7 linked regions of the Kluyveromyces lactis genome follow. The protein of the gene in region 2 interacts with the protein of the main gene of each other region in a pairwise test. Links are inferred from orthologs where the notes say so. Each region holds a gene or a part of one and is shown on either strand. Other genes may lie near its edges. The genes, in order: SST2, KLLA0_E15511g, KLLA0_F17545g, KLLA0_C17380g, END3, BUD14 and LTE1.

Region 1 (3,879 bases), on a different chromosome or scaffold from region 2:
AGAGCAGATCGTCTAGTGGGTCAAGTCGTTGGTGCTAAGGGCCATTTGCCATCTATCTACACCGATATCGAAATTAACTACTTCCTATTGCGTCGTCTATTAGGTGTAAAGACCGATGGTCAAAAACAAGCAAAGGTTAGAAAGTTAGAGCCAAATGAAGTTTTAATGGTGAACATCGGTTCCACCGCTACTGGTGCCCGTGTGGTTGCCGTCAAAGCCGATATGGCAAGATTACAATTAACTTCCCCTGCATGTACAGAAGTTAATGAAAAGATTGCATTATCTAGACGTATCGAAAAGCATTGGCGTTTAATTGGTTGGGCTACTATCAAGAAGGGTACCACTCTTGAACCAATCGCTTAATCTGTAAATTAACTAAATGATTTTATATATGTCTATATGTATATATTGTCACATTAATGTTCCATTTTCTTGGTAGAAAAGGCCACATTCTTTTGCAAGATGAATATCTTTATTCTTCATGATGAAATGCCTAGGTTCTACTTGTTAGCAGTTATTAATGAAATTGCGTCCCTATACGATTCTGTTGCCAGGAATTTGGGCAAAGAGTCGTTCTTCATCATGATAAATACGGTATTTCTGATTTTTTCCAGTAACTGATACAAATCCTTCAACATTGATATAGCATGAATAATGACGTATGACTCAGTACCCTTATTAAGAGGTGTCGGCGCCAATGGCATTGACGTGTTACTATGGGATTGTACTTTATGCTCCACGCATTTCTTCCGGGCAGCAGGATCGAGGCTTAAGGGTCTATTAACAGATGCATCCGAAATGGCTCTTGAACAATTTTCCTTGCCTGAAGTGTCGAACGCAGTTTTAGTTGGAGACTGAGGGTGGAATATTATTCCAGTAATTGTTTCTCTAACGTTATGATCAATATTAAGTTGATACGGAGACCCCAGTGCAATATAAGAGGAGTAAATATGGTAAACCAGCGAAAGGCATTCGCTAGTTTGTTTTAAAAGAGCTGATTGAATTGTATCTTTCAGTTTAGTACTACCACCAGTTTTCCATTCCCTTAGATCCATCTTATTGTGTTCGCTCTGGTTTCGAGACTCAATGAGTTTTCGCAGAACCGACATTCTTTTTAAAAACTTCGTTATTTCAAAGTATACGTCTAGGTTTTCTGCACACATGTCTTTGCAAAGATGCTCTCTAAAAAGATATCGCATCCCAGGATCAGCCAGAATTTGTTTGAGAGACAGCAACTTTAAACCGTCAGGATTATAATTATCGTCCCCAGTACCTGAGCTCGAACTTGAATCCGAGCTTACATCATAGTTCGACACCATTACATTTTTGGTTCCAAAATCATGTCCGCTTTTGAGCTGAGAATTACCTGGGAGTGAACGACTGGAGAGTTTTACGCTGCAATTAACGCCGCCATAATTCTCAGTATCCGTTCCGATTTTAACCCCGTCCATGAAATGCGGAATCTTGGGTAGCCCATCTACTCCCCATTGAATTACGTCCCAACCGGCTTGGGTCAATGTATAGTGTGCTGTTTTTGAAATTAGAAACTTTTTCTTGCTGTTTTGACTGGGAGGTAATAAGATTGGTGTAATTAGGCCGTATTTCAGAAAGAGTGCTGCAACTGCAACACATTCTTTAGGGTACATTATATCAGTACATTCCATCAACCATTGCCAAAGGGCTTTTGTGGTGAAACAGTAGTCAATAAACATTCCTTTTCCAAAAGTTTTGTTCCCGAACAATCGAAGCCCACAATCACTCACATAATATTGAATGTGAGAGTCAGAATCTGGATTTGAAAAAAATCTATATGCAAACGGAGATTCTCTGTCCTCATCTTCAAGTTGTCGAGAGTTTAACGAATGTAGATTGTTTTCAGTATGTTGAGACTGTGAATTTCCTGAAACATTATTTTTAGGGTTTTCACCAAGCTCGTTTACGGCGAAGTCTGGTGACACATTTTCAAATGAGAAAACATCTGAGCTTCTTTGATCCAATAAGTCAGAGAGCTTAGGAATTTTATCTGTTGGATTTTTTGGGGACCATATATTAGGTTTTGGACCCATGACCTTGTTGAACAATAGATTTATGAAGTATTCGCTTTGAATGACAGAATCATCTAACGTATTTCGCTCGAACTTGAAAAGATTCATCGTATTGAAGTTTGAAGTTAATATTGGAGGCAGCTCTTTCAATGCAAACTTCCTGGCATAATCACACGTTACGGCCACCCCTTTAGGAGTCGGCTGCAAAAGAATGTTCTCTTTTGGCCGACTTCTTGTCTTATCCGCAGGTGTATGTAGTAATTTAGCTTTCATAAAAGTGTTCAATAGCTGGTATCCCAGTTCTGGTTTGATGGAATAACTGATGTAGATACTAGTGGAATTCATTTCCACATTAAGCTCCAGCTCCTGTAGTAGATCAATAGCCTCCGTAATTGAAAATGTGAACGGAAAACTTTTCTTAGCGAAATTCAAGAGTCGATTGCTACTTGATCTTGGTTTTTCCTCCAGCGGAAGACATATTATCATAATAGAAAATACTGTTTTCAGTTCATGAGTTAATATTGAGCCATCGGGTGAGCGGTCGAAGCTATTAGAAAACAATTCATGCAGCGTTTTTTCCTTTTTATTTGACTCCGAGACCATATTATCTATTCATAAGAAGAAGTAAATCAAAAATAACAAAGAGCGCGACAGTACAACATGCATATACCTCCTGGTATAAATACAGCTAAACCCCCCTTTAATTCGTGAAGCGAAGCCAACAGTCTTTACGTCTGAATAAATTCGAAGTTGTCAGTTCTTGGTTTTGCAGTAACGTACAATCCACATAAATACCAACTGCAAGTATCACCTCTCGAGAAGTAGGGTTGCTAACATTTGTATCGAACGGCTCAAAGCATTCCTGGTGCTCTATATATAAAGGCAAATGTTGATGATCTTAATGGCTTGTTTCAGATTATCACGGCGTGGTTATATCCTGGTTCACCCAGTAACGGATCTTTTGAAACAATGTTGAATTGTTTGTGATCAAATCATTTTCCTTTTTCCCTTCCAGCGTGTTTTTTGGGCAATATTGACATGAAACATGCAAAGTTCCGGTACAAACCTCAAAATGTCCAAGAAATAGGAAAATGAAACAATAAAGCTATGATAAGATCGGTGGAATTATTATACCGACATTCTAATCGATACTCAAACACAGTGTGAAAATGAGGCACTGTTTGCCTTCTTTTAATTATTTGTGCAAATCGGTACCTATTTGCTTGTTGGAATTGTTTATAGCAAACACATCGAGCATCAGTTGAAACGTTCGAGGAATTTCTGTGATGCACCGCCAACAAAGAAATTACCCCAGGGTTCAATTCTGCTGGAAAGTGCATAACTTAATGACCATGTTTAAATTGTTTATCAGTATATTTAAGTTGCTGCTTGGTGATTATTGACGTGCGTAATTTTGATTTGGTTTCCAAATCTGGATACATCAACAATGAATTTATACCAGCAAAAAATCTTCATCAGCCATAATTTCCCTTTTATACGTAATGATATCATTCACAGACCACATATCATAATCTGGTTAGCACTTTAATGGATGAATTTCTGGGATACATGAAGAGAAACAAACGCACTTTCCCTCGTAAACTATCTATATACTATTTAACAATCTCGAAGCAGCAGGCCACTTTGGGGAAAAAACATGTCAAGTTGGGTTTAAAAAGTAGAAAAGTACCAGCATAGTTTCAAGCCCAATTTAAATTTAATCAATAGTAGTCTGCAACGTCTTTTGGTTTGACATTGTTGGAATGCGATGACTTGGAATCTTTTTGCGTAGATTGTGAGCTACCATGGCCAATGGTCCCTGGATTTTCAGAAG
Region 2 (3,990 bases):
CTTAATTTGCCTGAAAAGATCGTGAACTCGCCTTGTCCTTTCCAATATCTCTAGTTCCTTGTTCGCCAGTGATTGCAACAAAGATTCCATATCATTATCATCTTCAGAAACAGATGGCACTACTTTGGCGGTGTCGGTCGTAGTTGTAGGCAACTTCAATTTAGTAGCTGGACTTGCGCTAAATTCTGTGGTGGCTCCATCCGGGAGAAGTGATCCAATGCTACTTATGCTGGACCGCACAGATTTTTGTCCGTCATTTCGGTCAAGTTTTGATCGATATTTCCGTCCCAGCGGGGTATTCGATACAGACTCTGATGGTTTGCAATGCTGCTGATATGATTGACGTTGCTGCTGCTTAACTGTGTGCTCTGGAGACATTAATGGCATTATTAAAGACTTTCTTTTCCATGTGTTGCTTCTTCGTATTCCTAGCTCCTGATTGCCTCCCTTGCCATTTGTAGCAGCAGAAACCCCGTTACCATTGTTCTTTACGGTGACTTTACCGGACCCCAATGATACATCGTCCTCGTTCTCCTTCATATTGCCAGTGATATCGTCTTGATCTGAATTATCACCTTTCAACGGATGCGAGTCAAGTGTGCTAGTAGGATCAGCCTTGGTAGGCGTTAATTGCAACTGGATGTTCTTGTTTCTACCGGAACTCCCCACAGACTTGGGACTCATACCGCTGGATCCTTGGTTAAATGTAGGGGTAACGCTCCCTCTGTCCGTAACTTCATGATATATTTTACTCTTAGTATCAATATCGTTCTCTTTGTCTTGAAGGTCTATAAATTTCTCCAATACGTCTCTATCCATTGTTTATACCCAAACCGTACACATAAAGATCTAATTTGATTCAAGCCTAGCTTCTTACTACGGTCAGATCAGCCTTTTTACCCTTATCCTTAACTTGTACACTAAAATCAAGCCCCAAAGTTACTGATTGAAATGATAATTTCAGTCTTTCACAGAATTTCGTGTTGTTATGAAAATGAAACAGTGTAAACTTGAAGTTACCAGAAATAGTTCAGACGGCTGCAACTTTTTGCAGTGCGTAACAGCTTGAGGTTCCCAGCAGTGGCTTTATTACACCAGTTAGTGGAATCAAATACTTTGCATATCACATATCTGATTTATCACTTGCTAAGGAACTGGTATTGCGTATTTAGACGGTTACAAACACAAGAATGGCTCCATTCAAATTTGGAAAGAAACAGAAGAATCGGAAAGATGCTTCTGCATCTCCAAATACAACACCTAATTCTAACAGCACTATTGGTAACACTAGCTTTCAACAAGAATTGAGATCTCCTGGATCTAGTTCTACACCTACCAAACAGAACTATCCAAAACCAGCTGCAGATTCTGGGTTACTTGCGGCTCAACAACGCGTTATGGTCAGTCCTGTTGAGCAACGATCTACGTCCACTCAGAGTACCCTACAGCAGCAGGTGTTCACGCCATGGAATAGAATTAGACTAAAGCAGTCCCCTTTCCCCAGATATAGGCATGTTGCCAGCTCATATGCTACTGACAGTGGAGAATTGTTTGTAATCGGAGGTTTGCACGACCAATCGGTTTATGGAGATACATGGATAATCAAGTCACTGGACAACGCTACAAGTTTCAAGTCTATTACAGTTCCCATTGCAGATGCTACTCCACCTCCTAGAGTCGGTCATGCCTCCACACTGTGTGGGAACGCATTCGTGATTTTTGGTGGTGACACTCATAAAGTGAATGATGCCGGTTTGATGGACGATGACATATATTTGTTCAATATCAACTCTCACAAATGGACCATACCAACACCTCAAGGACCTAGACCACTTGGTAGATACGGTCACAAAATCAGTATAATTGCTGCGAACCAAATGAAAACCAAACTTTATGTGTTTGGTGGTCAGTTTGATGATACCTATTTTAATGATTTAGCAGAGTTTGACCTCTCATCTTTCCGGAGATCTGATTCTCACTGGGAATTTATTAAACCGGCAACTTTCATGCCACCACCCTTGGCTAACCACACGATGATCTCGTTTGATCATAAGTTGTGGGTATTTGGTGGTGATACTCCTCAAGGTTTAACTAACGAAGTCTTTATGTTTGATCCAGCTGCCAATGATTGGTGTGTAGTGCAGACTACAGGAAACATCCCACCGCCATTACAAGAGCATGCTGCTATCATATACCGCGATTTAATGTGTGTTTTTGGTGGGAAGGATGCGCAGGACAATTATTCAAACGCCGTGTATTTCTTAAACTTCAGGAGTCTAAAATGGTTCAAACTACCAACTTTTAATAATATGATTCCAAGAGCAAGATCCGGACACTCTCTCACTCTGTTATCAAATAATAAACTGCTAATCATGGGTGGTGACAAGTTTGATTATGCTGTTGGTAACAGCACCGATGTACGCACTTCTGATGTCGACATGGGAGCCGGTACCATTATTTACACTTTGGACCTAACAAACTTGAATGAGTTTTGTCCTGACATCTTTAAGATCGATGATGTTGATCACCTGGACAAATTTAGTACGCCATTATCGAAATCCAATGGAAGATTTGATGAATTGAAAAACAAACAAGCTTCAATTCTATCACCAGATGTACCAGAAACGGTGAACACAACTCCTGCAGTTAGAAAACGCTCTGAGTCCGGCGTCCTCGGACCTACTGCTCCTAAACCAAAATCACCAGTTCCACAACAAGATGCCAATACAGATCCTCCAAGAGTATTGTCCTTGCAGTCTCAGTTAAGTTCAGAGACGCAAAGTGACACTGATCCTGATGTTGGGTCTGTAGAAGTTGTTCAGTATAGAACTTCGCCGACAAAAGGTGATGTAAAAAAATACGCTGTTGGAACCAACTTGAGATCCTCATCGGACTATGAAAATTATTCACCATCTATCATGCATAACACAGGTGCTGAGCCTTCGCCTAAACCTAACTCCTTGTCAGATACGACGCACTTCGATAAATCCATAGATGTAATAACTGACGCTGATAAAAGCCCTGTCACTTTAAGTGAACCTGCTCGTATTGTTTCTGAAAAGAATGAAAACAACATTCTGAAAGAATTACTTGAAGAGTTGAAGCAATTGAAGGAGGATACTGTGACCAGTGCTACTAGTGCAAACAGCAGAATAATGGAATTGGAACTAGAAAATACAGAATTAAAGCAATTGAACCAATTAAGTCACTTGAATGACATGATTAAGCACCAAACAGAAGTAATTGCCAAGCTACAATCAGAAGTCGATAATAAGGAGAAATATGTGGATTTGGAATCAAAGTATATCGTATTATCTGAGAAATATGAGTCTCTCACGAAAGAACTCGATTCGAAGAAACAGTTCATCAATGAAAACATAAAAAAATGTAGTGAATCGTTGGACACTTTGCTCGATGGCATGAGACAGAAACAAAAAGCTCACGAAACAGTTGTAACCAGGCATAAAGAAACAATGACCGGTCTTGATCGCAAGTTAAGCGAAGTAATTCTTCAAAATAAAGAACTGACTACATCCAGGGACCAGTTGTTCACAGAATACTCCAAATTGAAGGATGAGCATGCCTCAAAACATGAAGAACTGACCAAGATGGAAAGAGAGTACAGGTCAGTTATTGACTCTGTTCACAATTCTGGGAATGCGATGGAAAAGCTGCAGAATGAAATTATCAAACTAAGACAAGAAAATTCAAGACTTAAATCGGATTTAGAGAATACGATTAACCAGGAAGCAGATGATTCGTCCGGTTCTTTGAATGATGCTCATTATCAATTAAAGATAAACGACCTTCGCGCAGAATTATTCATTATCAAACAGGAACGTGATTCGCTAAAAGACGATGTCATGACTCTCAAAAAGAAACTACTTCATTCTGAAGCAACACTATAGACTCTTAATAATATCAACCGTGTAAAATAGAATGTATTGTTTAGATATATATATTTTCAACTATTTTAATTTGTTTTATATT
Region 3 (4,034 bases), on a different chromosome or scaffold from region 2:
GGATTCTTTTCATTTTGCTTCAAGAATCATGTACTTGCTTCTGCAACTGTTCTATCAGTAGATCTTTGGACTGCAGTTGCGTCTTCAGCTCATTTATTTGAAGGGCGAGTTCGTTAGGAGATGGCTTTATACCATGTTGGTATAATAAATTCTGTTCTTCTGCAATGAAACGTTTGAGCCTTTCTTCGTTCAAATTTTGAATCAACTCAACAATCTTTGACGATTTTTTCCTTAATTCCGTTTCGAAATCCAGTAGAGAAAGAGCCTGAGGTGACTCTGGTTCCTTCGGATTCTTTGATTCTAATTCACTTTCTAATCTACCTTCCCTTGCGATAGACTCGGCTAATTCCGTGGAAACCAATTGTAGCTCTTGCATCAACATCATATTTTGTTTCAAAATATTCAAATACTCTTCAGTGATCAACAGGGGTTGTTTGGGATCCTTTTCAGAAGCAAAAGATGGCTTATATGGCAACGCGGAAATAGGTTCAGCCTTCTGTTTTACATATTCTTTCTCAAGACAAGGCACTTCCTGTATCTCTGTGCTTTCACCAATAATCATCGACTTACGAATTTGCAAAGTTGATCTGTCAAATGTCTTTTCCTTATTACTATATTGGTCGTGGTGATTACCAGCAGATGACGCGGAAAAAAGAGAATGATATGATATTCTACGTTTATCGCTGGATGCACCCGATTTCGCCCTGAAAGTATCATTTAACTGGATTTCGGATCCTTCATCTACTGCCATCGAACTCCTGCTGCTTCTAGCGGACGAAGGTACAGTAGTGAGCGGTCTTTGATCGCCACTCTTCGTCCTTTTGATCTTCATCAAAAAGTTCTTCGCTTTCTGGAAACTGCTGCCTGATTTCTTCAAGCCTTTTTCACCAGAACATGCGATATAGGAATCATGTTTTGATTGTAGTACTTCGTTAGTATTACTATTCCCACTGTCGACCGCCGCATGGGCTTTTGATACAATTGATTCAGTTCTATTGACGTTGTCGCCAAAGTTTCGACTGGAAGAGTTGTCCGAGATTTCAGGATTTAATATTGGTGATAGATCCACGGGAATATTTTGTATCAAGGCGGTGGATGGCCTGAGATTTATGTCATCATTCAAAGAATCTTGCTGGTTGCTTTTCGTTTCCGAGGAATCCACTAGGTCGTATTCCTTTTCCGTTTTTTCCTCCTCGATCTGCAACACTTGTCTTGCGGGTTCACTTAACGTTAATATATTCAATTTCACCAATGAATCAGAATCATATTGCTCATCGCTATGTGAATGATCCTTATTCCCGCTGTAGGTTTGTTGATCTTCTTCTTCCTCGTTAAAGCTAGGAAGAGCCTTGTCTTTTTCAAAGTCCTCATTATCATTCGACAAAGTGGCATGTAGTTGGTATTTCACCGGTGATCTTGGCAGTGATGGTATCTGATTTTGTTCATCGAATGATGCGTTCGAGGGAGTTGTCGGAGAACTTTGTTCAGAAACCCTACCAGAAATGACGCTATTCACACTGGCATATGAAGAGGATGAGCCCGATGCCGCCTTATTCACCAGCTGCTGTGGTTGTGGCGGAGGGGCTAATGAGCTTGTTGCTTGTCTTTCATTGAATACATTATCCTGCGATACATTTTGTTTTGGTTGATAAAATGGTTGCGGATACGATTGAGTTTGCAGGGACATGGCTCTTGGACCAGAGTTTGGACCATATTGGGAGCTACCAGTAACAGGTGGACCTCTTGCCGGCACTGGTCCATTAACTTGACCAGGAAAACCCATGTTACGGGATCCTGTTGGTGACGCGGCATACGGACCTTGATAACCGTTTCTAAACTGTGAATTTCCGTTCATTTGAGTTGGTGGACGTCTGTCAGCAGTTAACGACATTGTGCGTGGGTCATTTGGAGGACCTTGTTGGGGAGGATACCCTGGTCTACCAGCCATCGGCGAAGCCCCCCCTCCCATCAAAGAGTTGAATCTGCTACCGTTTGGAGGCCTAGGGATTCTTGATTGCTGAGGGCCTGCTGGACCCATCATTGTTCCCGGGCCAGAAACACCAGGCCTTACCATAGGACGTTGATGATAATTTTGCAAGGACATTGTTCTAGGACCACCTGGAACTGAGGCACTGAACTGCGCTTGCTGCTGCTGCTGCTTCGCAAGACTGTTAAATGCCATTTTCTTTTGATTCATCATAAGTTTTCTATATTCTATATTGTTCATTGAGTTTGTGTTTCCGGAAGTCACGATGGTCGGTATTATTGGAGAGGTATCATCTAGATGTCCACCGTAACCGTATGCGTGCCCACCATTGTTTCTCATGGAAGAAATATCATTGAATGTAAGGAAAGAGGAATCATGATCCGAAAAGTCTGTATTATCGTCATCCTCATTAGCTTTTTCGTCATATTGACTGTGTCTCTTTTGATTGAGTTTCTTGTATTTACCCTTGAAGAAATTAGAGAAGGAAGCAGTAGAAGAACTCATGGATGATTTCCTACTACTGTCTCCTGGGTAATCAAAATGTGGTCTTGGTTGCATCTGCAGAGATTGTTGTCGAGGCTGTTGCATGTAATTATATGACGAAGGGTTGTAATTGGACTCGTACTGCTGGGCTTGTAACGGAACTACAGGTGGGGCCATGGGGCCTGTATTTCCCTTCTGCTTGTTTATCTGCTGCTCCTTAGTAATATCAATATTCCCTATATCGCTGTGAAGTAACTGGTTCCGCAGCTGGGCCTTGGAAGACATGCCCGCTCCACGTCGTTGATCAAGCGCAGTAACACCGGCATCCATATTCCACGATCAGAAAAGGTTAGAAATAAAGCACAACCTACAAGAAACGAAAAGATGGCTAGTTGTAAAATGAGCTGCACTTACGTATAGAAAAGTTCCTTTAACAATGACAAACAAACAATCTAAGGACTTACCTCTAAGTTGTTATCAAAAGTCCTGATGTACCAAAGAAGCGTTCCAAAATCGGTAGGGAATAAGTCAATTACACTCGTACTGTGGATTGGTTCCTCTGGATTATAAATTCTGCCAGAACCTAGGCTAAATGACTGTACTAGAAAGAGAATAGATAAAAGGAAATACAACCTATTAATAGTGACTAAGTCCAAAACTCAAACTGATTCCTAAATTGTTTGAACAGACCTAAGATTCATTTACTTTCCGTTCATATTTTTTTTTTTTTCTCAAAACGAAATCTGAATGCCATAGAAGTTCCGAGCGAACATGAAATGTATGGATTATGCATGAAACAATAACGAAGAGTGAAAAAGGAAACGGAAGGCAGCTATTTAGGATGTGCCTTTACACAACGTTGTATATAATAGATCGTAGTAATCTGACGAAATAATGGCTTCTGCAACCTTTGTATTTGAATTAAATTTTATATGGTTCCCAAATGTTACAAGTCTATGCAGTGGTTATTGCGTTTAAAAATGATTTTACTTACTGTCCAATGTAGTCTAATCAGAAAGTTGCTCAGGTGAGAGAATGGTTTATCACCAGCTTAAGCTCTTCTTGATTTTGTTTTCCTTTTTTTAGGTGTAGATGATGGTTTAGGATCAGGTTTCGCAACACCCTCTAGATTTATCTCTTCAGAGGGCTTGGAAGGCTCAGTCTTATCAGTCTTTTTAGATTCAGCTGTTTGTAGATCTTCGTTGGTAACAAGCTTTGTGTTTTGTAATTCGTAGATGAACCACGTCACGGTGATCCATAGTAGAGTGGCGATAATCGTTAATGCGATGAAATGGATATTTTTGGTTAAATAGATCTGCGATCCCAACACGCAAAGCAATAGTGCAAACGAGATATGAGTAGCAATGATCAATTGAGGCGATGTTCCTGGTTGGAAAATGCTTTCCCACAGTGCAACAACAAAGTTAGTCATTCTTGAGTGTCTCAGGTGAATTTCGTTTTTTATAGTGGTTGGCAACGGAGGATTATAATATGCTGTACTAGAAATCGATGATGAGCCTGGAGTAGAAATCAGCAAGGTATAGCCAGAATGCAAGTGAACAAG
Region 4 (3,955 bases), on a different chromosome or scaffold from region 2:
TTTTGTTGGCATCGACGGCCTTCTGATCGTCATTAACTTTTGAATTATCAGAAGCAGTTACTATAGGCCTTAATGGAGAAATAACCAATTCGGCAGTAGGTGATGGGGATGGCTCTTTTTGTTTCAAAGTTGGAGTAACGGCAGGGATAGGAACGAGTTTTATATTCTTTTTGTTTACAGTTATCGAAGGTACAGATTCAGATTCAGATTTAGCATTTTCTTCAGATTCAAAATTGAATGACTTCTCATTTAAGTCGACATCCTCTGTTGAAACTTCAATAGGTTGTGGATGTACCACTGGCGAAAAAATTCCTTTCAAATTTTTTTCTTCGTTGGTTCCGTTTTCTTCTTGTAGATGCTTTTGCTTCATGGTTTGTCTTAACACTTCATATGTAGAATTCCCATCGTCCTCCTCCTCTACACTTTCGCTTTCAGTTTCTTCATCATTGCTGTTGTATATGTCAGAATTAATATTTTGCAATAGCTTTCCCTTTTCTGGAGATGATAACTCAAAAGGATTTGGGTCTTTAAAGTCAGAAGGAACAACTGCTGATGATTTTTTGGCAAGTGGCGAAGTAGGTAGAAGTGAATTGCTGGCTGAAGCAGACTTAATTGCATCAATGGTCTTCAATTCTCTGCGTTCGATTATAGGAGCATTGCTTTCCGATTTGGAATTGTTATCCAGAGGTAATTCTAACTGCAATATATTCTTGGATTTCTTTGATGCGTTATCTTTCTTCATACCCCCATTAAGCATTGCTGTAAATAAGCCAGTTCCAGAGGGCTTTCTAACTGAAACAGGCCTTGATGACGCGTCGTCGGTATTTTTTTTCTGGGTAATTTTCAAAGGTTTGACCGGAGACATTTCAACGCTATCAGCCCGAGAAGGAAGAAGTGATGGTTTGTCTAAAACACTTCCCTCGTGTAAACCTTTAGCAAAGTTATTCGAGGTTTGTCTATTTTGCATGGAGAGGCCAAGTGGACTATCCAGTTGATCACCAGATTTATTTGATGTGAATATTTCATCGTTATTGGATCCGCCATTTACCGTCTTAACCAAATCATAGATTGCAAATGAGATTTCTGAAACAGAATTTTCAAGAATAACTCTTGATAATGGAGTTTTATAGCTGCTGAAGTAACGCACAGATGTGATAGCATGTGATATTGTGTTCTCTAACACTAGTCTCATGGTCTTTGTATCTGGGGAGTGAACTAAAGTTAAAATTTTTGAACAATATTCTGAAATGGAAGCAATGTTCTCGAATAAAAACAAAACTGGAGGTTCAGGTGACACAATGAGGCTTAGTATTTGTGATAACTTGGAATCCAAGTCGTCGATGAGATTTGACGGTATTATACTAGTTTCAGGGAAAAGTTGCTTGTTTGAAATGGGGGCCATAGAAGAAGAGCTTGTTCTGACAGGTTTTTCAGCAAAAGCGTCTTCATACTTTGATTTCCAATAGGCAGCATCCTTCCCTGATTTACCGTCAATCGATTTAACTGGAGACTGTATATTTTTCAATTGCAGCTGAAGTTCTAGTTTTTCTTGTTTGAGTTCTTCGTTTTCTATTGACAGTTGATTTAGTTGAGTAGTCATTTCGGACATTCCCTTTTGGAAATTACTATCTAGAGCTTTAGTAGTACTTGATTGGTCGGCATTCTGTTTCAATTGCTGAACTTCTTCTGTTAATCGTTGATTATTGGTCTTCAATTCATCTAATTGATTCAAAAGTTCTGATTTTTCTCTCTCCAAAGTTGTAATGGTACTGTCCAACTTATTCCCTTCCAGAACTAATAGCTCTATATCACGATCTTTGTTACGTTCTACCGATTGAGACAAGGATCCCATTTTATTTTTATTACTGGTGAAAGGCGACAACCCAGCACTTGCAGCCATTGCTGTAGTGGCAGCAGTTTGAGCCAATGGAGTTCTAGCCTCACTGGATTGTGATAACGGTCTCTCTGAGAACGTGAAATGGTCATCTATGGAAATCGGACTTCTATTTCCCACAGGTGAGGAAGCTGTAGGTTGAGGTGGGCTTTGTGTTTCATCTGGAATAATGACCGGGGACTGATTTAGTGAAAACGCTCTATCTATCTTAATAACGTCATTGTCTTCACTAGCTAATTCCTTCTCATCAGCTTCTGGTTTGTGATCCTCTTCATCTGAACTCCAGTCGATTGATGCTGTCTTTGGAATGACTGTAGAAGTCTGCAAAGTTGCATTAAGTGCAGAATTCTCATCTTCTGGTAATTTTTCCACCGACGTATTATTTATACTGCTAGGTACAATTGGCGATGGCTTAGAATCAAGTACGTGTAATGCAGGAGAGGAGACCTCTGCCTTGTCATTCGAATTAAAATCTTCATCAGTATCAGCATTTGGGAATTCCTGATAATCTGCTTCTTCTGGTTCAGGTAACGTGTCAAACCCACGTCTTCTGATTTCGAAAAGAATATCATCGACCAAATCATTAAATCTCGCATTGGATAAGTTCGCCAATTTTTGTCTTGCCTGGTTCCTCTTTGCATGGAAACTTTCATTAGGAACTAAATAGTCATGTTGTGGCTGTGATTCATCAATTCGTCTTTGCAATTCGTCGCTGACGTCAGTACTCAACTCGAAAAACTGTGACGAAGAAAGTTTTAACAGCTTTGAACGTGCTTTCTGAGCACGCGATGTCATTGATCTATCATGGCTACCACCGGTAACCTCAAAGAATTGTTTTAAAGCAACATAATAATTATGGATCTGCACTTTTTGTGCATATTTCAGTTCCTTAGCACCCTCTTTCATTTGGAACGGTAAAATGAAAACAAATTATCAAACAATGGTCAATTAAGAACACGTATTAATGTCAATTGCAATTGTCACTGAGGACACTCGTTTCAAGTATAATGGTCAAAAAAGGGAAGTGAAATCGAAGAAACCAGTGTGTCTGTAAATAACTCAATTCGATACTTTCCCAAGTTTAAATAATTGACGGCCTTCTCCTTTTAAGACTTGTATCGTCTTTACCAAACCGCTACCGCTGATTCACAACAACTCGCACTTATTTCGTAATGATGAATACTTGATTCTATACAATTGACTTTCTTTCATGAAGAAGAGTTAATCCACTGTTTAATTCGAATTGAAACAAGATTCTAATTCCAATATTTCAATTTCCATACCTAAGAACTCATCGTTTTTTCAGCCAAAAGAAAAAAAGCGTTCTTACTACACCTCGTTCTTCGTGATAACGCGTAATTTTATTGAAAGTTTGGCGTTTTCTTTCACGTGATGAGAAGAAAAGAGAATCGATAAAAAAAATAAAAAAGAAATGCTGCTTCTGTGGATCGAACACAGGACCTTATGAACTTCAGTCATACGCTCTCCCAACTGAGCTAAAGCAGCGATTTCTGTTGGAAATACAACTCTTCGGATACCAATACCTTGGTGATTTGGGCAAAATGTATGCTAAGCATCGCACTTACGAAAGCATTGCAACAATGAGTGTGAGCAATTATAGTATAGCATTGAATTATACTAGAATATACATGCATATTATTAGGTTTTGTTTTAGTATATCTTTTTCTATTATATACATCAAACTTTTCTTGGTAGTCGTCCGATTGTCAGTAGACCTTTCAAGAGTTCCGGAATCGTGACGTGTAAATGCAATTCACCATCGTCGTGACCTGTCTTTGCAACCATGGCGAGCTTGTCACGAGCTATTAGATACCCACGAATCATCCATAGGAAAAATGCAGCTCCGAAATATCCCATACCGGAGAAAATGGCTGTATTCACGTATTGGTTGGCAACTGTTGGATCGTTACTACGTAGTCTTAGACCAATGATTGGGGAAACAATGGACATCATGCCGATACAAGGCCAGGTGAAAGAATAAATGGCTGGTAACTTGTTAAGACCACCGATTCTGGAAATGATACTTGTTTGTAATGGCCA
Region 5 (3,066 bases), on a different chromosome or scaffold from region 2:
CTGTTGACACAGTAGGGCAAAATGTTGAAGGTAAGAAAGCACTTGCTGTAGAATCTTTTGCAAAAGCCCTAAGACAATTGCCTACTATTCTTGCGGACAACGCTGGTTTCGATAGTAGTGAATTGATCACAAAGTTAAGATCTTCGATTTACAACGGCATGAGTACATCAGGTTTGGATTTGGATAACGGCACCATTGCTGACATGAGAGAACTAGGGATCGTGGAAAGTTATAAATTGAAAAGAGCTGTAGTAACCTCAGCCAGCGAAGCAGCCGAAGTCCTCTTGAGAGTGGATAATATTATCAGGGCTAAACCAAGAACAGCCGATAGACAGCACGGTCATATGTAAATTAATTAAATTAGTACTAAGCAATCACCACAAACGTTTAAATTTCGTTCTAATATCCAAAAAGTTAAGCTAAGAAGTGAATTATCATTATACATGAAACAACGTAGTTCAAAATTTACTCCAGAAAGTATATAGGGTAGGTCAATAACCTCAGTAAAGAGATTGCACCTCTATCTTCAAATTATGCAGTTCCGACTTCTTTGTTTTCAGGTACTCCTCCAACATTTGTACTTGCTGCTCAATACTCTCTATATCATCCCTCAAACCTCCAACATCAACGCTTTCTGAAGAAGTATTGGAATTATTGACAAGGTTTTTTTGGTATTCCAAGAACTGTTCTAACTGTTGTTTTACTAATTTCATTCTATCATTTGAGTCATTATGAGAGGTGGATTGTTGCTGTGCTGACGATAATTCAGAGTCAATATTTGCCAATTCCCTTTGAAGTCTGACTACTTCCCAATCAGTTCCCTGAGTAACAGAAAAATCAGTACCACCACGTTTTGGTATTTGGTAAGATGAAGAGTTAGATGTGGATAGTGTTGGCCTTCTTACTTCGCTCTGCTTGGAAGACAAATCCGTGGAAACTCTAGTCTTTGTAAAAGTTTCTTTCAATGCTGAAGGTAAATGTGATGGTATTGGGCAAGCATAGTCGTTCACTTGTCTCAGAATATGAATAAAGTATAGTGCTGGATCCTTATCTATGGAAGTGTCAAGCTTAGGATTAACCAAACGCCACGTTTTTTCTAAATCTTGAGATGATAGATTGATATACTTCGATCTAACGGCGGAGGATAGTGAAACATAAGATACACTATTGTCTCTAGAGGTTATGGCTGATTCATAAATTGATTCGTATTGTGACTTATCATCTCTTGATATATACCAATCAACTTCTTTTTGATAATCGTCTACAGCTGGCGAAGATGTCGGAACATTGACCACAGAACTTGTTTCTGCTGTTCCGCTACTACGTTCAGTTTTTCTTTGTTTGACTAATTCGGCTTTTGAACCGGGAATCAACCAATCTGGCAATTCATCTGGTACAGAATCTATGTTTTTATTAACCATGTCAAATATCATTCTCATACAAATCACAAACTCTTCAAAATCTAGTTGATCATCATCATCGATATCGGCCAAAAACCATATTTTGTTAAGTATCGAGGTGTCCAATTTAGAATTGAAAAGGATAGGCAGTACTTGATCATGGGTCAACTTATTTTCCACCGGTTTCAATCCGGAGAAAATTTGCCAATACTTTTTGATCTCAAATTGTTCAAGCTTTGGCATCTTAAATTGGTATTTGAATTATCTGTGGAGTCAAGCGCGATTAAAATAGAGGTCAGATATCAAATTAACACTGAGCTCAAACGTAATGTTTTCTTTGAAGTATGCCTGCGTTACTCACAATCAGTCAAAGAGACAGGAACAAATAAAACAAGAATATGTTATACCTGCTATCGCTCTAGCGTGTTCTTCGGTTTGAATCGTTTGGAACCTTATCTACTTCAATAAATTGCAATTTAAACCTTTTGGATAGTTCATCGTATTGATCTTAACAGTAATATCACCCATTTCAGTGCTGAAAGAAAATCAAAATTCCATTGACCTACATTACAAAAAGGGGAAGTCACGTTATACGTAACACACGTGACCTTGAATAATAGTCAAACAACCCCTCACGTGACAAGAATTTGTATCTGTTTTTTTTATATCTTTTTGGTGGATGCTACTGGTTTACCCGGTGTTCGCGTTATATCCTATTTTGGTAACACATTTAGAGAAATCGCGAAATGTTTTAAGGATGCCAAAAGAAGAATTATAAGTGAATCTTCAGAACTTTGAGGTAGGTGAGAATTTGGGGGACCAGAAGTAGAATGTGAGATGAAAAAAGCTAAGACAGGGTTGTAGAGGATTTCGATTGTTTCCAACTGGCCCGTTAGTTTACTGAGAAGTAATACCAAAATATAATAATGGTTTTTCCTGTCTTGCAACTGTGATATTTTTGGTGTCTTTCAATTAATATTCATATATTTCACGAGATGAGGGCTCCCGCCTTAAATAAAACAAGATGTATTCTCAGGGCCCATTCGTTTCTTCCTCATCTTAACGGTTCTGCAATCCAGTAACGCTTTTACGTTATACTATCCATTAACTTTTGAGATAGAAGGAGCAGCACTAACTGTCCGATCGCTACGTTGTTCATTGATCCATTCATTCACTCCTTGACAGCCTTCATCTGAAAGCAATAGCAGAGAGAGAATTAAGAGCTCAAGAAACGCATACAAGGAAAATTGGAACTAAGTTTACTCATAGTTGTTCAACTGGACTTTAGTTTTTAATTTGGAATAAGAGAAATTACACGAACGGAAATTAGTTCATTATACAGGGTTTAGGGTTATGAAGACTGAGTTGCTGTTGTCTTCGGCGCTGTCACTTCTCTTTGCCGTCGCATCAGCTTCTGTATACGAAGCTTATCCTATTAACAAACAGCTTCCACCAATTGCAAGAGTTGACGAGGATTTCCAGTTTAAAATCTCTAATGACACCTTTAAATCAACTAACGAAGGATCCGTTCAAATATCATATGAATCTTCTGAATTGCCAAATTGGCTTTCATTCGATAGTAGTTCTTTGACTTTTTCAGGTAAGGTCTCTTCCGACTTCCTTGATGATAACGAAGATACGAAATATTTCGACATCATACTTAAAG
Region 6 (4,004 bases), on a different chromosome or scaffold from region 2:
TCAAAAGAATACCTGCAGTACCTCTTAACTGATCCATTTCCTCAAGATGAAGTAAAATGTAACATAAATAATTGGCAAACTGTGGTTCTAATTTGAATGTTTCCAATGCATCGAGTGCTTGCTGTCTCTCATCAGAATTAGTTGAAACAGCATGTTGTAATGTCAAACAAAGTTGAGTTAGTCCTTCGTTATCTGGTGACCATGGCATACTGGGATTCAAGGTTGTTTATGGAGTCTCCACGGTACTGACCACTTCCTTATCAGCAATATCCGTGCTTCCTCCTGCTCAAATGTTTTTAGTGAATTTGATATCTCTGCGATGAGCTAACAAACCAAAAAAAAATTTTAAAGTCTAATGCAGTACTGCGGTCACGTGTGTTATTCTTTCGGTACTGAAACAGGAGATGAGCACAGACAGATTACTGAAGCAATAGTGATTGCTGTTGTTGGGTTATGTCTCTATAAAAGTTAGCTACATAATGCGTTGAATGGAGGTAATATCAGTTTGAGATGGCGTTTTCTATCTTGTCCATCATAACATCTATTTTGCTGAAAATAGGGTTGTACAAGGAGTTAATCACTGGATGATAATCCCCTACTACACCAGTGCTTGTATGCAATGCTACTTCAGAAATTAATGGAGAGTTGTGTTCATGGTCCATGCAACTTGAGGCTATAGAGGATGGAACGGTGCTGTAAGCGTTTGTATTTTCATCTGGTAAGATACTATTTTCTTCATCAATATCAATAGTTTTTTCTGTCCCGACAGAACTGTTGATATCTACAGCATTCAGTGTAGATATCGAATGCTGGTGATTATGAGTTACTTTTGGCAATGATTCACTATGTTGCAGAGAATCTTCATCATGAAGAGAGTTCAAATCAGGCGCATCTTGCGAGCTTACAATTTTCGATATATCTTGAATAGCTCTGGAAGATGGGATTTGATCATTCAAATTAGACTTCTCGAATTCCTTTTCACTTAGCAACTGAGGTGAATCATTTGTCCAGTCTGAAGAGGAAGGCGAGTATTCTCCGATTGTAGATATGGAACAATTTGAATTTGAATTTGTCATTTGGGAAGTACCTCTTGGTGCTGCTACTGGCATAGTGGGAGCTTGAAAGACTTGTTTTAGATCATTTTGTTTCTCTGACAACAGATCCGTCAAGGCAGGTTTTGAAGGTCTATTTTTTTGCACCATTAATGGTGCCATTTCATGGACATTGAAGGCAGCATCACTTACAACTTCGCTTACATCATCTGACAAATGATCATTCAGAAGGGTTTCATGTATTTCATCGACATGTGTTAAGTGAGTTCCAAGATCTGTTCCCAGGTGTAGATGCCCGTCTTGCCCGTCTCTTGATTCCACATCATGAACGTATTCTCCTGCACCATTCAGTTCTCCGCTGTCGTCCTCCAATGGTTCTTGCTCTATTTCATCAATATATCTTTCAGCATAACTGACAACATTATTGAAGCTAACCGATTTATTAGTTTTTGAGTATGCGTTCAACGGGGACTCAACTGCCTCAATACTATCTTCTTTGTTCAAAATATTCGATTCTTTGCTTGAATTTGAATCCTCTTTATGAGAAATTGAATGTGATGATATATTTTCGTTTTTCCAACAGTTCAGTCTAGCTAACCTTTCAGGAAACGTTTCAAGAAGTTCTGCAGGCGCGAATCCTATTTTCCCATCACTGCAACGTTTAACTAACCACCAATAAGAGTCCTGGTCATTCAAAAGAGTACAACCTTCGTCCTGTTCCAACTGGCAATGTGATGGATCAGGTCCCTGGAACGGGTATAATGCATATAATTTGCTGGGGTCTAATTCTTGCGGCGGATTTAACGGCTGCAGCTCATCAGAATCATCAGATTCATTAGTGTTCCAACCTATATTCAAGTCCTCTTCGTCGTTGTCATCTTGTTCTTCTGCCTCATCATCGTCATCATCAATATCGTCATATGATCTCTGCTCCAATCCGTTTCTTGCTTCTTTCGCACGATCTGCCACCATGTTATTATCAATAGCACTCGATGTATCGTTTGCAACTATCCCTTTCACAGAAGAAACATGTTCTCCGCTGTTTCTTTGAGAAGAAGTCTCTAAACTTCTTAACCGCTCCTCCAAATTATCTTCAAAATCCGAATCTGAATATGCATAATCTGAATCCTGCAGCTCGTTCCCATGTCGCGAACTGAAACTGGTATCATGCTCATTATCGATATCCTGTGCTAACTCTTCTTCTCCTTCTTCTTCTTCCTCCTCATCTTCCAACTGTAAATCACCGAGATCCGGGACACCTTCATAGTCAACTTTTTGACGATTTACGTCATTAGCATGTGCTTCAGTCGGCGTTATCACAACACTAGCATTGACACTCAGGGATTCCTCGTCCTTCTTGAGGCTTCGCATCTGTTTCATGATTTCATCGAAATCCTCAACCAGTGTAGGATCAGTTAATATCGATAGATCAGGTTTTGATCGTTCCCGTGATCTTAAGCCAGAGCCCAGACCTGCGAGTCCTGACATCTTAGGATACTCCAAATCCATCATACGATACAACTCGAGTGGTATAATAGCAGTTAATGCACAGATAGGATTCAGAGATGGAAGCTGATAATACTTTTCTCCAAGTAACGCGTGTATAAATATATCTCTGAAACCTCAGTGGAAAATGTTGCACCAAAAACAAGAGAATTAAAAGCTGTTTCAAGCCTCTTAGTGCTTTATCCAGAGCGGAAAATCCCCCTGAAAACCCTTCTAAAATGGTTTGTTGCGCCTTTTGTATAGGTGCTAGCTTCGATAAGTCGAACGACCTTTACTGTACGCTATACACCTTTCCCTCTCTGTCTCGTTTCATGTTCATTCTCACTAATTCCACCATATCTGTATCTCTAAATGTATATCACTAAAGACTAACGGCTGTGAATGTCAGAAACTTCGCTATGCGAAAAAGGAACTGATGCGAAAGAGAAACCGAAATATATTTCATTACCCGGATTACTATTTTAGCATTACGTGGAATATATCAGTCACGTGTTTAAATGATGATTTTTGACTTGACATATCTCGATATATTTCGATATTACTTTCCCTCGAGACATGAGAAATAAAAAATTGAAATGCGATGTATATAATGAGATGAGCCAGCTTTGTAAGTACGTGTGCAAATTAGGTGGTTGCAAAGCGGTATAATCACTTTTTCACTTAATATTTGATAGATGTTAGAGAACTATCACATCTAAGCATTAGCTGATTCACGTACTATTACTCACTCGCTTCCGACTATTACTACTGCGGAGATTGAAATTGAAAAGAAAAAAAGGGATCATCATGAACACGACAAGCATCACTCAAACCAACTTGGACGGTATCCTACCATTAGTGGCTAGAGGTAAAGTTAGAGACATTTACCAAGTCGATGATCAAACTTTGTTGTTCGTCGCTACTGACCGTATTTCTGCGTACGATGTCATCATGAAGAATGCAATTCCAGAAAAGGGTATCTTGTTGACCAAGTTGTCCGAATTTTGGTTTGATTTCTTGAAGGAAGATGTCCGCAACCATTTGAAACCATTAGGTCCAGGTGAAACCATCTTTGACAAATTACCTGCAAAGCTTTCAGAATCTAAGTACAAAGTTCAATTGGAGGGAAGATCTTTGTTGGTTCAAAAACACAAATTAATCCCATTAGAAGTCATCGTTCGTGGATTTATCACAGGATCTGCCTGGAAAGAATACAAGAAGACCGGTACTGTCCATGGTTTACCACAGCCAGAAGGTTTACTGGAATCTCAGGAATTCCCATCTCCTATCTTCACTCCTTCTACTAAAGCAGAACAAGGTGAGCACGACGAAAATATTTCTCCGGAACAGGCAGCTCGATTGGTCGGTCAAGACTTATGTGACAGAATCGAGAAGTTGGCTATAAAATTGTACACAAAATGTAAAGACTTTGCCAAATCAAGAGGTATAATCATCGCTGACACAAAG
Region 7 (4,107 bases), on a different chromosome or scaffold from region 2:
TATCAGTGTCTGGGGAAAACAGGTATTTGTTATTCTCTGGATTCAAGTTTTCAACGTCTTCCTCGAAAATGTCATTAGTTGCCTGTTTTTCTAGATGATATTTCTCTCTCAGAGTTGTGGATTGTGCGCGATTTGGTTTACTAGCAATCGACGTGAGATCAAAGGATTCTTCTGAATCACGACTTCCTATTGACTTTATACTTGGAGTCTCAGAAAGCTTTGAAATAGGTTGTTTGCATAATACTGGCGTAGGGACATCGGGATGCTCCGATTTCTCTTGAATGACATCAACTTCTTTGATTACCAATTTTTGGGGTGAAGCTTGGGCAGAACTAAACAGCAAATTTGTGGAGATGCTTTGAGAGTCCGAGTCGTTACATACTGAACCTCGGCTGACTGTAAACTTTCTGTCATTATCATTTAGTAAGAGAGATGTCGTCTCTTCTAATTCCGATATAATGTCCTGGTTTGCAGCCAAAGCTTTATCTCTTTCGATAAAAACTTCATTGCCCAAAATGAGAGGAGATTTAGGGAGAATGGACCTCAAAGAGTTGGGAGAGGCAACACTGTAGTTTCTTGTTATACTAATTCTGCCACTTGTGGGTCTTCTAATTTGGGCGTTGTTTTGACATTGGGTATCAATTTCAGACGTACTTTCTTCATATGCAGTTATTAACGATGCAATATCTTCATTTTCGTTTTCATACTCATCTTGGATAGCATTATCATTTGCATCACTTTCCATTGAAGTTGCACTCGTCTCCGTTGCTTCTCTATTTTGTGGTGAACAGGATCTGTCATCTGTCGAATCAGATTTCTCGAAATTGAACCTACGAAGGTCATTAACATTCAGCTTTCTTTTCAAAGTTGGGGCAGATTCCATGAAAATATTACTACTCCCTTTATGTTGACTCAAGATATTCCCAGAAGATGAAATATCTGAAAATGCAGAGTCATAAGTGACAATAGAAGTAATAGAGTCTCTTTCACCGTTATATTCTCCTATGTTGTTCAGGTTATTTGCAAGTATGGCCTTCTTTGTAGGAGAGTTCCTTGTCGGATCATGGAAAACCAATCTTTTTGGACTGCTGTTGTCATTGGTATTAGGTAGTCCCATTAAGGCATTCGTGATGCTGTATCTAGAATTATTGTAAGAGTACAGCATTGGTGCAGAGTTTCTTATATTTTTCCTCTCAAGGGCCGAGGTTGAAGGAGATAACAGATGGGTAGTTGACTTGTTTGTTCTGACATTCAAAGTTTTAGATAGCGATATCACTGAGTTAGCGATTGATGAAACAGTTTTGTAAAGGTTAAGATTATCAATAACACTATAATCCTGCGATTCATCCTCATTTGTTTCCAACTTAGATATTTCAGTGGTTAGTTTTTTAGCTTCTAATTTTGCTAAAAGATCACTTTCCACAGAAACAAGATATTCTACCTCATCAATAGTTCTTGCACTCAAAATATCAAACATAGAAGAAAGCGAATCGGGCAATGGATTCGCATGATTGTCCAATGAAGAAATGGAAAATACATATTTTATTAGATTTTCAACCCTTGGTGGGTTTTGGACAGGATTTACAGTTGGTTTTCTTTGATGATTTAATTTCCATTTAGACAATAGACCCAGTATTCCTTTGTGATTTGTGTTATTGCCATTTACGGTATTCGTCGAATCTGAGCCATTAGATTGTTCTGGAAGATCTGTTTCCATGTACGACGTCTGCAAGATAAACTCTATATTCTTCGCTGGTGTTGGTGGGACGAAGATGTCCACTGAAGGGGTTGAAGGGTATTCCAAATCTTTCATCATATAAGAAACGTTAGTGACCCTGGACAACTGCGGTAGGATATGTTTGTTATCTTTCGAATTCTTGGGGTCTGTTATTTCTCTCTCCTGTTTCGGAGTGGCCTCTGGCGAGACTCCTGAAGCCGTTAGTTTTTCGTTAATAGAAAGTCCGTTGGAAGCATTTTCTGGGAACAAAAGCATTGATCCAGTTCTCTGTTTGATACGTGTGCTCTGTTTCTTGGATTCATCTTCTGATTGTTGTGGTAGAGGTATCTTCTCTCTGGTGTGCAATAACGAGAGTAAGGATTCGTTCCTGAGTACCGGGTTGTTTATATTTTGTAATGCAATAAAGCTAAGTCGCTTCCCCTTCGTGCTTCCTTCACCTGTTTCCGAAGAAGAACCAGACGGTACGTCCTCTATTTCCCACTTGAGCCAATCATCGCGCGATACAACGTTATTTTCCACTATGAGATTTTCTAAATCCTCCCACATAATTTGAACGTTCTGAACCCATAATTTTTTTAAACTAATTATAATATTGTCCAGGAACCTGTCAACTGGAGAGTATCCGTTGATGAATTGAAGGAATTGACGACGCAACGACGTGTCGACGACAAAATCTTGTGCGAAATAGTTAGACAGCCAATGCCTTACCAGCACAAACATCCGTACCAGTATAACCTCGGATGTAATTTTCTCTTGGGAACTAGGGTCAGATTGACGCAAGTCAATCGCCCATTGGAATCTCTCTTGAATTAGATCCAGCAATTTCTGAGAACTCATGAAATTTCTGTAGACTAGAAAGAAATCCGTCAGCATTGAATAGTCGACTTTATCTAGCGGCGATGAGAGCTGCACTAGAAGTGCAGGAAGCGTACATTTAAGAATTCGTACTGTACCATCGCGTAAATCTACAGTCAGTACACTTTCACTAGGCACAGGGTACAATTCAGGTCGACTAAATAACGGCACAACGTTTTCGTCAGCCTTTTCAACGACCTCAGACATAATTTCTACTTCACTAGAGTTCTCTCCTCACTAGGCTCTTCTTCTGTACTTTCTTCTTCAAATTGTAAAAACAGATCAACGGTGAAAAGAAAAGATAAACAGTTCTTGTGGTTCAATGTTCGATGCGTTATACCAAAACAGGAAAATATTGGTAAAACTAATCCAAACACTAGGCGGGTGCCTCAAAAAATGATACGCTCACTCCACTCTTTTTCCCTTGTTTTTTTCCTTGTCTATCTTGAATCTCTTTCCCACTTTCGATTCTTTACTAAAAAAACATATTATTGATATTTTGGTTCTCATGACAGAATCACCATTGTTTATGTTCATTTTTCACAGAATTTCGCCGTATCATCGGTGCATTTGAGGTTTGTAGAATGCCTTTCGAGAAGTTTTGAGTTGAAGTCTGGGTAATGAAAAACATTTCCCAGTCACGTGGATGGAAACTGGATTGTATATCTTTGTCCACGTGACTGATATTTTCCCCATGCTCACTTCTGGTTCTCTTTCCCTCGTTTTGAATTTTTTTTTTTTTGGGTTGTCAAATTCCCGCCGCGCATTCTCCGGAATAAATGGTTTAGGTTGTTATCTTATCAATCCCTTTGAAGAAACAGATGATTAAACGAAGTGCAACCATCATGAATGCAGGGTTATACCTTTTTTGCCGGGCAGAATTTAGAGGTAACAGTGAGACAGCAATAGGATAACTTGTTAAACTGAACTGTCCGGTTTTTTCCTTTCAAATGGGGACCTCACAAGCAATAAAAGTCCGTCATAATAAGACCGTTTTCAGACAACAGGGCCCAAGATAAGGAGAAACAGCCTGGTTGTAGTTGGAAATATGTAATCGGTATAGTTTTTCAGACCTTCATGTGGAATCCTGATATGGGATTCGAGGGGACAGCGAGTTGCCTATTTGGGAATTGAACAGTTCTTCATGCACATGCTTTCTTTCATGCTGATGTGAGCACGAGTGGTAGTTTGACCGGCCCCTGAGATCGCTGTTGATTGCATAACAGTGTTTTAAGGTTATAATGGTCGTTTGTTGCTAGCAGCGTGCGTATTTTCAGTTTGTTCCCCTAATTATTTCTTGTTCCAGTGTCAGATAGGGTTTGAATTTTGAGCAGTCGCCTGTTATCTGCTTATGCATTTTCGTAGAGTAACAGTGTTACCTTAATCTCGGGAATGATATTCGAGGGTGATAACGGACCTGTGATCAAACACTTAAGTTTTAGTTTAGTACAACCACAAAGGTTAAAGTTCAATCGCTCTTCACTTCCAATCATAGTGATTTTTGTTTGTTGGCG

What was found.
Region 1: the proteins of KLLA0_E15511g (region 2) and SST2 interact in a two-hybrid assay, tested with the Saccharomyces cerevisiae proteins (2 studies listed by BioGRID). The link is inferred for Kluyveromyces lactis from reciprocal best matches to the Saccharomyces cerevisiae genes KEL1 and SST2.
Region 3: the proteins of KLLA0_E15511g (region 2) and KLLA0_F17545g interact in a protein complementation assay, tested with the Saccharomyces cerevisiae proteins (2 studies listed by BioGRID). The link is inferred for Kluyveromyces lactis from reciprocal best matches to the Saccharomyces cerevisiae genes KEL1 and EPO1.
Region 4: the proteins of KLLA0_E15511g (region 2) and KLLA0_C17380g interact in a protein complementation assay, tested with the Saccharomyces cerevisiae proteins (2 studies listed by BioGRID). The link is inferred for Kluyveromyces lactis from reciprocal best matches to the Saccharomyces cerevisiae genes KEL1 and SPA2.
Region 5: the proteins of KLLA0_E15511g (region 2) and END3 interact in a two-hybrid assay, tested with the Saccharomyces cerevisiae proteins (2 studies listed by BioGRID). The link is inferred for Kluyveromyces lactis from reciprocal best matches to the Saccharomyces cerevisiae genes KEL1 and END3.
Region 6: the proteins of KLLA0_E15511g (region 2) and BUD14 interact in a two-hybrid assay, tested with the Saccharomyces cerevisiae proteins (2 studies listed by BioGRID, with this or other methods). The link is inferred for Kluyveromyces lactis from reciprocal best matches to the Saccharomyces cerevisiae genes KEL1 and BUD14.
Region 7: the proteins of KLLA0_E15511g (region 2) and LTE1 interact in binary tests that used the Saccharomyces cerevisiae proteins (3 or more experiments, as listed by UniProt). The link is inferred for Kluyveromyces lactis from reciprocal best matches to the Saccharomyces cerevisiae genes KEL1 and LTE1.

What each region holds. Positions count from the first base shown.
Region 1 is NC_006040.1:894,780-898,658, reverse strand, and holds SST2 (GTPase-activating protein SST2), read right to left. Parts: upstream 2,649-3,879; coding exon 501-2,648; downstream 1-500. Other genes in the region: GCD11 (translation initiation factor eIF2 subunit gamma), read left to right, coding at 1-363; cyclin-dependent serine/threonine protein kinase SGV1, read right to left, coding at 3,767-3,879. UniProt on the Saccharomyces cerevisiae protein: Desensitization to alpha-factor pheromone. Is involved in regulating the signaling pathway for responding to mating pheromone.
Region 2 is NC_006041.1:1,387,436-1,391,425, forward strand, and holds KLLA0_E15511g (uncharacterized protein), read left to right. Parts: upstream 1-1,190; coding exon 1,191-3,908; downstream 3,909-3,990. Other genes in the region: TDA11 (Tda11p), read right to left, coding at 1-819.
Region 3 is NC_006042.1:1,609,820-1,613,853, forward strand, and holds KLLA0_F17545g (uncharacterized protein), read right to left. Parts: upstream 2,801-4,034; coding exon 20-2,800; downstream 1-19. Other genes in the region: PKR1 (Pkr1p), read right to left, coding at 3,522-3,902.
Region 4 is NC_006039.1:1,523,561-1,527,515, reverse strand, and holds the start of KLLA0_C17380g (uncharacterized protein), read right to left. Parts: upstream 2,801-3,955; coding exon 1-2,800. Other genes in the region: KLLA0_C17336g (MCT family MFS transporter), read right to left, coding at 3,593-3,955. UniProt on the Saccharomyces cerevisiae protein: Involved in pheromone-induced morphogenesis and efficient mating, perhaps as a cytoskeletal protein.
Region 5 is NC_006039.1:982,694-985,759, reverse strand, and holds END3 (End3p), read right to left. Parts: upstream 1,644-3,066; coding exon 501-1,643; downstream 1-500. Other genes in the region: chaperonin-containing T-complex subunit CCT2, read left to right, coding at 1-350; AXL2 (Axl2p), read left to right, coding at 2,754-3,066. UniProt on the Saccharomyces cerevisiae protein: Component of the PAN1 actin cytoskeleton-regulatory complex required for the internalization of endosomes during actin-coupled endocytosis. The complex links the site of endocytosis to the cell membrane-associated actin cytoskeleton.
Region 6 is NC_006039.1:388,372-392,375, reverse strand, and holds BUD14 (protein phosphatase regulator BUD14), read right to left. Parts: upstream 2,565-4,004; coding exon 501-2,564; downstream 1-500. Other genes in the region: KAP104 (Kap104p), read right to left, coding at 1-208; ADE1 (phosphoribosylaminoimidazolesuccinocarboxamide synthase), read left to right, coding at 3,345-4,004. UniProt on the Saccharomyces cerevisiae protein: Important for bud site selection. Seems to be a regulatory subunit of the BUD14-GLC7 type-I phosphatase complex. The BUD14-GLC7 complex is necessary to regulate microtubule dynamics at the cortex and may function as a specific activator of the dynein complex.
Region 7 is NC_006037.1:362,629-366,735, forward strand, and holds the start of LTE1 (mitotic regulator LTE1), read right to left. Parts: upstream 2,801-4,107; coding exon 1-2,800. UniProt on the Saccharomyces cerevisiae protein: GDP-GTP exchange factor for TEM1, a Ras-like protein, component of the mitotic exit network (MEN).